Linked DNA regions of Mus musculus. The protein of the gene in region 2 binds, or shares a complex with, the protein of the main gene of each other region. Links are inferred from orthologs where the notes say so. Each region holds a gene or a part of one and is shown on either strand. Other genes may lie near its edges. The genes, in order: Smurf2 and Smad7.

What was found.
Region 1: the proteins of Smad7 (region 2) and Smurf2 are in contact, whole or in part, in an NMR structure (PDB 2LTZ), measured with the Homo sapiens proteins. The link is inferred for Mus musculus from reciprocal best matches to the Homo sapiens genes SMAD7 and SMURF2. Residues at the interface, in NP_005895.1 of Homo sapiens: Glu203, Leu204, Glu205, Ser206, Pro207, Pro208, Pro209, Tyr211, Ser212, Arg213, Tyr214, Pro215, Met216, Asp217; in NP_073576.1 of Homo sapiens: Glu304, Arg306, Asn307, Thr308, Ala309, Thr310, Arg312, Tyr314, Val316, Asp317, His318, Arg321, Thr322, Thr323, Gln324, Phe325, Thr326.

What each region holds. Positions count from the first base shown.
Region 1 is NC_000077.6:106,917,876-106,922,256, reverse strand, and holds the start of Smurf2 (E3 ubiquitin-protein ligase SMURF2), read left to right. Parts: upstream 1-1,541; 5' UTR 1,542-2,024; coding exon 2,025-2,076; intron 2,077-4,381. UniProt on the Homo sapiens protein: E3 ubiquitin-protein ligase which accepts ubiquitin from an E2 ubiquitin-conjugating enzyme in the form of a thioester and then directly transfers the ubiquitin to targeted substrates.
Region 2 is NC_000084.6:75,365,710-75,370,242, forward strand, and holds the start of Smad7 (mothers against decapentaplegic homolog 7), read left to right. Parts: upstream 1-1,655; 5' UTR 1,656-3,246; coding exon 3,247-3,859; intron 3,860-4,533. UniProt on the Homo sapiens protein: Antagonist of signaling by TGF-beta (transforming growth factor) type 1 receptor superfamily members; has been shown to inhibit TGF-beta (Transforming growth factor) and activin signaling by associating with their receptors thus preventing SMAD2 access.

The DNA.
Region 1 (4,381 bases), on a different chromosome or scaffold from region 2:
TCAGCCTGCTCAGTTTATTGTCTCAGCCTAGCGTTTGAAACAGTGATGTAGCAATTGTTCTATCGCCACAGTAACTTTTGTGGGAATTATTTCCTGAGCCTTCAGATCTTACATTGCACAAAGAAGTGTTTAAGGGCCCTGTTCATTGCTTTGTGAATAATAAGCACTTAGTATTTCTTGATTGAATTTTTAGAGCTGTCCCTTGTATTTTAAGTCTTACTGCTAGAACTTATGATTTTGGGATCACTTTAATCCGTAGGAGTGTTTTTAGACCGATGAAACGCTCTTGGATTTCACCTGGAGAATGAAGTGTCTTAACTGGTAGATTTTAAGTCACCATTTGCAATGTTTTAGGATTAAAATGTATTAGGCTTCAATGAACAGTTTAAACGGCATTAATGTTATAACAGCTTTAAAGCAAAGCTAACATGGATATAAATCCACACTCTTTTTTTTTTTTTTTTTTGGTTTTTTGAGACAGGGTTTCTCCGTGTAGCGCTGGCTGTCCTGGAACTCACTTTGTAGACCAGGCTGGCCTCGAACTCAGAAATCCACCTGCCTCTGCCTCCCAAGGCATGCGCCACCACTGCCCGGCACAAATCCACACTCTTATCCTTAGTTTGCATTATTACTCTTGCGTGCACATAAAACTTGTATTCTCCATTTAAACCCTGCATTACATATAAAGTCTGACATGTTACATGGCTACCACAATTGCCATTTAGATGGCTGCATAAAAATGTGTTGCAGTTGATGTAATACAATTCACTATTAGGCTGCACTCTCACCCCAACCTTGCAAAACAAAATCCCAAAACAACCTGCATTATTTATTTGTCCAGAATAAGTTCTTATTAGTTGTAAGTCACCGCGTCAGAGTTACAGTCCTATTCATTTTCTTTTTTCCTCCTGGGACAGCAAAATACAGTACTGCGTGAGCTTTCCACACTATATCCACCTATCTTGTTCACAGTCTTTGGCCGCATTTGTATTATCTCCCTATGCTTGTCCTGGGCAGGGTTGGGGGAAGAATCGAGCAGGTAGGTAACCGGATATGGAGCACCAGGTGAGCCTGTGGAGGTGGCAATTACAATACTCAGAGCTAAGCACTCCTGGGAATTTGCTGGAGCGTTCGATGTGGGAATAGCATCTTGGCGAATTAATTCTTCGGACTTGGGTCTAACTTTACTCTCGCCAGCCTCTCAGAGCGCGCAGTGGGAGTATTACTCGGGCATTCTGCCCTGTAGGGACACAGGCGATCTTTCAGTGAGCTAGCTGGTCAGTAGGCCCCTCTGGTGCCATCGAGCCGGCGCCGCCGGGCGGTGTAGTTCGGGGCCCAGTCTGGGCCGTGGCGCACGCGCTGCCCGCAGCTCGCGCGGAGCCAGGCCTTCCTCTGGCGCCCCAGGCGCAGGAGACCTCGCCCACAAGCCCGCCCCCTCGCCGGCCCCGCCCACCGCAACCCCGCCCCGCCCGCCGGCCCCGCCCCCGTCTCCTCCCCGCCCCCAGGAGCCGACGAGTGGCGGCGGCGGCGGCGGCGGCAGCGGCTGCGGCCCCAGGACCGGGTTCTCTCAGACAAGAGGGCGGGCGGAGGAGGAAGCGGCCGAGCACCCGCCCGCCTCAGCAGACTTCGCACCGTCCGCTCCCAGGCCTCGCGGCACCGAGAAGGGGAGACCGAGGCGGACCGCGAGGACAAGAGGCGGCGGGGGCGCGGGGCGGAGGCGGCGCGGCCGGCCGCGGCTGCCGCTTTGTTGTGTGGCCCGGGCCGAGGAAGCAGAAGTGGGAGGAGGGGGGAGCTCTGCGTCCCGCTCCCTCCGCGGCTCATGGCGACGGCGCTCGGCACATCCGGGACCCTCCGGCCCTGGCGGCCGCGGCGCGGGCTGTTCGGACCCCGGCCCCGGCCGCTGTGGTGACTCCTCTGCGCCTCGCCGTCGGCCCAGCCCAGCCCAGTCCGCCCGCCCGCCCGCCGGCCCGCCGGCCGCGAGCGCCGCCGCCGCCGCCGCCGCCACCTCCCCCGCCGCTGGGGACATGTCTAACCCCGGAGGCCGGAGGAACGGGCCCGTCAAGCTGCGCCTGACAGGTGAGCTGGGCGGGCGGCTGTGGCGCCTGTGGGCAAGCAGAGGGCCGGGGTCGCGGTCGGTGGTGGCGTTGGACGGGAATCCGGGCGTGGGAAGGCCTAGTTTAGGGAGTCATTGGAGAACCACTTAGCTGGGGTTGGGAAATTCTTCAGAACGCCCAGTGTGTGGCCCGTGGGTCTCCCGTGGAGGGCGGATTTGAGGTCCTGAAGTCTCGTTTCCTGGGGTCACAGGAGCAGCCCCTGGGCTCCTGCCCAGGTGGGGTCGGGAAAGGGATTACTGAATCCAGTTGCTGACTGCGCGCGGTAAACACTCCTTAAACATGGAGTGAGTGCTTAACGGGAGAGTGCTTGTGTTCCCGGGTTGTTAACTTGGACACCTACCTATGCCCGGCAGTGAAACCTTTACTCTCCAGTGCTGCCAACCTCTGTGGCCAGTGCCACACACCTTAAACGCACGTCTCTGGGAGGGAGGGACCGAGACTGTGGTTGGCTTTTCCGGCGTGTCTGCCTGATCCCACGACTCCCGGCTCATTGTACACTCTGTGTTTTGGAAGTTGTTTGATTGTAGGGTAGCATGTTTGGGGTTGTTCCTTGTAGGCCGCAGAACTAGTTGCTCATGTCTTAACTCCAGACCTGGTTTAGAATCCCTTGCTTTGCAATGTGTTTCTCAGTCTGGACGCATACGAACTTTTAAGCTAACTTTCACTAGTCCTCTCCACACTTCTCACCCTCTTTCTAAATGGAAAGGAATGCTCAGAGGGATTTGGGAAAGACTGTTTAATGTTCCCAGCTGCAGGGAGTTGTTAACATATTACAGGTATAATTTGCTTACGATGCCACTTCTGATATTCTTCCGTGGTCAACGTCCCCCTCCTTTTAAGGAAAAATTGCGTTTGGTTTAAAGCGTGTAATTGAAACTATTGTCCCTCTGCTAGCTAGTCACGTCATTCACAGCAAGTAAATTGTCCACATTTATATTCAGATGTGTGGTGAAGAAGACGGCATTTTGTAGTTGGTTCATATGCATTTGCGCCAGCGAAGGATAAGCTGTAATTATGTTTGCCCACACTAAACTTTGAGATTTCTGTGGGTGAACTTTGTAGTTGAATGTTTGTGTGTTAACCGGCAGTCCATCGGCTGTACTTTCTAGGTAGCTTGAAGTGAATTTGGTATTTGAGAACTTAGTTGGAATGTATGTTGGCTACAGAGTAAAATACTTTACTTTTGAGGCTGAAGAGATGGCACAGTAGTTAAATGTATCCTGTTCTCTAAGAGGACCTGAGTTCTAGTCGCAACACCCCAACCCAGGTCCTCGGCTCACTATCACCTGTAACTCTAGCTCCAGGGGATCTGATGCATCTGGCCTCCCACAAGCACCTGCACTTAGGTACACATACCACCTCTATCTCCAGTAATTAAAAAATATACATAGTATTGACCTGGAAGCCTTTTTTTCCCTAGGGAAAATTACAAGGTATTATTAACACTGGGTGGGGGGGGTGCTTTGATTTTCATCTTTATTGTGTTCATTTGGGCGGGGGGAAGTCAGCGGAATACAATTATAAAGGATCCTTGGTGCTCTAGTTTATATATTAATGTTCTTATTAGGCACGCCTTTGTCAATAATTACAGAAAGAAATTGTGAGTGTAGGTGTGCAAAAGCCATCAGAAATGGATGTTATTTATTTCCTTCTGGGATATATATATATATATATACACACACACACACACACACACACATATATACATATACATATATATACACATACACACATATATGTGTATGGGAGAGAAAAGAGGGGTTTGGGTTTTCTTTGGATAAAATGAGTTCTGAGGTGGGCTGGAGAGATGGCTTAGTAAAGAGCACCCTCTGTTCTTCCAAAGGACCCAGATTCAATTCCCAGCACCCAAATTCCAGTTCACAACTGTCTGTAACTCCAGTCCCAAGGGATCTGACACACTCACACCAATGCACATAAAATAAAAATAAATTATTAAAAAATGAGTTCTGAGGTTTTAGTATTTGTCAGACTTTGCGAAAACTATTCACAGGCAAATTTCCCAATAGTTTTAAGAAACAGAGTAGTTCAAATGAACTAAGATGTACTGAAAATGAACTGAGAGTACATTTATGTACTGTGTGTGTGTGTGTGTGTGTGTGTGTGTGTGTGTGATGGCCATGGAACGTGTGTGCTGGATAGGACAAGGTGAGATCTCCTTTTCTATCTTACGAGTCTTCCCAGTCCAACTCAGGTCATCAGGCTGGAGAGGAAATACCCTCCCCCCTCAGCCAGCTCAGTGTTCTGAG
Region 2 (4,533 bases):
GCTTTAGAGTGTTCACACACCATTCCAATAAGTGGCATTTTAATTTTTAGTAGAATTACTATGCCATCCAGTAATTACTGCTTACGTGCCCCTCTCTGTCCGGTCCTGCTGATGGTCCTATACTGTTGTCTTCCTTCCACAACGTAGGGCTCCCTAGGGAGAGAATCATGTGATAGAACTTGTTGGTTTTCTTTTCTAGTTGTAAGAGTTTAGTGTGGAAGGGGAATGGTCAGAGAACCTAATTCAAAATGATGATTCCTAGTTAGTGTTGCTAGTCACTGAATCCAGGGTCTCTAAGGAATTATACCCCCAGCCCTCTAAATGTGTGTCAATTATCTATCAGGTTAGAAACAAACGTTACTGGAAAGAAAGGGTATTTATAATTTATCTTTTCCAGAACATATCATTCCAGTGGCAAGAAATAAATATTATATTCCACATCTGGTAAAAAAAAATTCTTTTACCCCCCCCCCCCCCCGTAAGTTTCATGACTGTCCTAATGTTACAATTTCAAGCAACTTTTCAAAAACCTACTAAATATGTCAGGTTGGATCACCATGCCAACTAGTTGTCTCAGTAACATTTAACACTCTAGTACTATCCTCAGACCTGCTCCACGGACTTTTGCTTGACAAATACCTTTTCTACTTCCTAGCAATCACTTGCATCTGGGGATAGCTTTCTCTGGAACCTATGGTGAAGGAATAAACTCTCTGACCCTAAGCAGGCCCCGCATGCGATTGGATGCTCTAAGCAGGTCTGCTGGCTGGGCAAGGTTAGCGCGCCGGGAGGCCGAGTGGCGGGTGCCGGAGGTCTTCCAGGCCGGGAGGAAACCTGCCGGCGGCGCGCGGGCGAGCTGCACCCCTCCTCCCTCCAGGATGCTGCCCCTCGCTGCTCGTCAGCCTGCCAAATGCATTCCAGAGCTGTGCACAAGACACACTTCTCCAGGCAGTCCTAGAAACCCGAGCCCGGAGCGGGAGAGGGCGGGAGGGAGCGCGGCGGCCGCTGAGGTCACATTCGCGCCGCCTCTCCGCCCTCGGCCGCCCGGCTGTTCCCTCTAGCGCACACTTCCCAGGGCCTCCGTCCTGGCCGGTGTAAATGTCTTTGAAACAGACAGCGATCTCCTCCCCTTTCCAAGGGATCCGCCGCCAGGGCCTTAAAACAAAACGAATGAATGAAGCGCCCGGGCGAGCTCTGCTGGTCTAAATCGGGCCACTAACCGGCTCATTCCGCTCCAAACTCGCCCGCTCCATGCCCCCAGCTCTTCCGATTTCCCCCTGCTCCCGCTGGGTCTCCGCCGACCCCCGGGGCCGTCTCGGCCTCCCACCTCCCTCCACCGTGGGTACCCCTCTCTAGACCTGGGAGAGGGTGGCAGTAACTGGGAGGGGGGTTGAAATAGCTTTTAGAAACCCGATCTGTTGTTTGCGAAACACAATCGCTTTTTTTTTTTTTTAAAGCGACAGGGTGTCTAGACGGCCACGTGACGAGGCCGGAGCCGGGCGCGCCACTGCGCAGTGGAACCAGCCGAGCAGAGGGACGGGTGGGGGGGCGGGAAGGAGGCGGCGGCGGCTGGGGGCGGGGGAGGGAGGGGTAGAGGGGGGAGGGAAGGGGGCGGAGGCGGGAGGCCTTGCGGGAGGCGGCGAGCCCTGGGCACATTCGCTCGCTGATCGGCGCACAGAGGATCTTGTCCCCGAGCTGCGCCAGCAGAGCCAGCCGGGCGCCTCGCTCGGTCCGCTCGCCGCGCCGGAGAGAGCTGCCTGAGACGCAGCCAGCCAGCCAGCCGGCGCCACGCCGCCGAGCGCTCGGCCCCGGAGTCCCTGAGTGCGGCGCGGCGAGCCCCCAGCGGCGGCAGAAGGACTCGAGCGCCAGGAGAGGGCGGACGGGGGACGAGGAGGCTCCGGGGCGCGACGAAGAGAGTCTCCGAGGAAGAGGCTGCGAGAGGACACCCGGGCCTCCTGCCGCCACTGTCGGGTCGGGGCCAGCAGCTCATGAGAGCAGCCCCGGCGGCCACCCGCGGCCAGGAGAAGGAGCACCGGAGGCCCCCACACTAGCCTGTGCCCTCGGGGGCGAGAGCTTGCGACCCGCCGGAGCCCGCCGCCGCGCCGCCCTCCCCCGCGCTGACAGCCCCCCGGGGCGCAGCCGCCGCCGCAGCATCTTCTGTCCCTGCTTCCCCAGCGCGGAGGAAGTCCCCGCCGAGGACCTGGGCCCCCGGGAACGCAGGAGGAAAGACCAGAGACTCTAAAACACCCAGATACGCAAGATTGAAGCAGCCTAGCCAGACCTTTCTGTGGATTAAAAGAAATACGATTTTTTTTTTTTTTTTGGCAGAAGAAAAGGAAAGGAAGACCGGCTGGGTTCAGCAAGGAAAAAAAGGGGGATGTAACTCGTGGATACGGTTTTTTTCCCCCACCCTTCCAACATCTTGTTTTACTTTGTAAACATTTTCTCTTTTAAACCCGGGCTCCATCCGGTGCCCTCCAGACCTCCGAGGTGCGAGGAGGTGGTGTGTTTTTTCATTGGGGGCTTTGCATATTTTGGTTTTGGGGGTTTTGAGAGACCCTCCAGACATCTCACGAGGGGTGAAGTCTACTCGGTCCCCTCCCTCAAGTCTTCGCGTGCACAGAATTCGAGGAGATCCGGTTACTAAGGATATAGAAGAAAAAAAATAAATCGTGCCTGCCTTTTTTTTTTAATTGCCTGCTTCTCCCCACCCCCAAATTAAGTTGCTTAGCAAGGGGGAAAGAGGCTTTTTCCTCCCTTTAGTAGCTCAGCCTAACGTCTTTCGTTTTTTTTTTTTTTTTTTTGCCCCCGAGGATCTTCCATGTAGGAAGCCGAGGCTGGCGAGCCCGACACTCGGGAGCCACTGTAGGGGGGCCTTTTTTGGGGGAGGCGTCTACCGGGGTTGCCTCGGCCGCCCCCAGGGAAGCGGCGGCCGCGTTCCTCCAGGGCACGCCGGGGCCCGAAAGCCGCGCAGGGCGCGGGCCGCGCCGGGTGGGGCAGCCGAAGCGCAGCCCCCCGATCCCCGGCAGGCGCCCCTGGGCCCCCGCGCGCGCCCCGGCCTCTGGGAGACTGGCGCATGCCACGGAGCGCCCCTCGGGCCGCCGCCGCTTCTGCCCGGGCCCCTGCTGTTGCTGCTGTCGCCTGCGCCTGCTGCCCCAACTCGGCGCCCGACTTCTTCATGGTGTGCGGAGGTCATGTTCGCTCCTTAGCCGGCAAACGACTTTTCTCCTCGCCTCCTCGCCCCGCATGTTCAGGACCAAACGATCTGCGCTCGTCCGGCGTCTCTGGAGGAGCCGTGCGCCCGGCGGCGAGGACGAGGAGGAGGGCGTGGGGGGTGGCGGCGGAGGAGGCGAGCTGCGGGGAGAAGGGGCGACGGACGGCCGGGCTTATGGGGCTGGTGGCGGCGGTGCGGGCAGGGCTGGCTGCTGCCTGGGCAAGGCAGTCCGAGGTGCCAAAGGTCACCACCATCCCCATCCCCCAACCTCGGGTGCCGGGGCGGCCGGGGGCGCCGAGGCGGATCTGAAGGCGCTCACGCACTCGGTGCTCAAGAAACTCAAGGAGCGGCAGCTGGAGCTGCTGCTTCAGGCCGTGGAGTCCCGCGGCGGTACGCGCACCGCGTGCCTCCTGCTGCCCGGCCGCCTGGACTGCAGGCTGGGCCCGGGGGCGCCCGCCAGCGCGCAGCCCGCGCAGCCGCCCTCGTCCTACTCGCTCCCCCTCCTGCTGTGCAAAGTGTTCAGGTGGCCGGATCTCAGGCATTCCTCGGAAGTCAAGAGGCTGTGTTGCTGTGAATCTTACGGGAAGATCAACCCCGAGCTGGTGTGCTGCAACCCCCATCACCTTAGTCGACTCTGTGAACTAGGTAAGAAGTTGTTCTGAGTCCACCTTTCGTTCCCTCTGGCGTGGAAATGCTCGAGGATGTGTGTATAACCTCCTGGAGGAGACAAGGAATCTAAGTCAGAGAAGGGACCAGGGGAAGCTTGGGGTTCCCTCTAAGATTTTTCTCTATTGCACCCCACCCCCCCACCCCCCGCCTCCAGAGGAGGGGACCCAGGGTTACTACTGCTTATCCTTCTACTGAATAGACATGCTGCAGAAAATGAGACAGTCTAATTTCCGGGTCTGCAAGGGGGTACAGAGTAAAGTGGGGAATCCGGCTTCCCCCGCACCCGGAAAGGCGATGAGGTGTGTGGCCGAGTTGGATTCGACCCAAGCCCGCCAAGGAAGGCTGGGAGAAACTAGCTTTAAAGGCTGGAAAGTCTCTCCTTTAGTAAATAAGGACAGTCACGTGGGACACGAGTGGCCCAGATACTGTCCTGGCCTCACAGCTTTGGAGTTTGGGGGCAGTGGTAGGATGGAGACTGAACTGGGTATCCAGTCTCAGCTGTGCGAGCTTCGGGGTGAGAAGGAACAGCTTGGAGAAGTTGGGTGGCCTCGACTTTTAATCTTTATTTCGCACAGAAAAGCATACAGTTAGTGGTCCTTAGGGTGTCCGACACTCCCACCCCCTGAGTTTCGGTGATGTTCTTCCCTGCT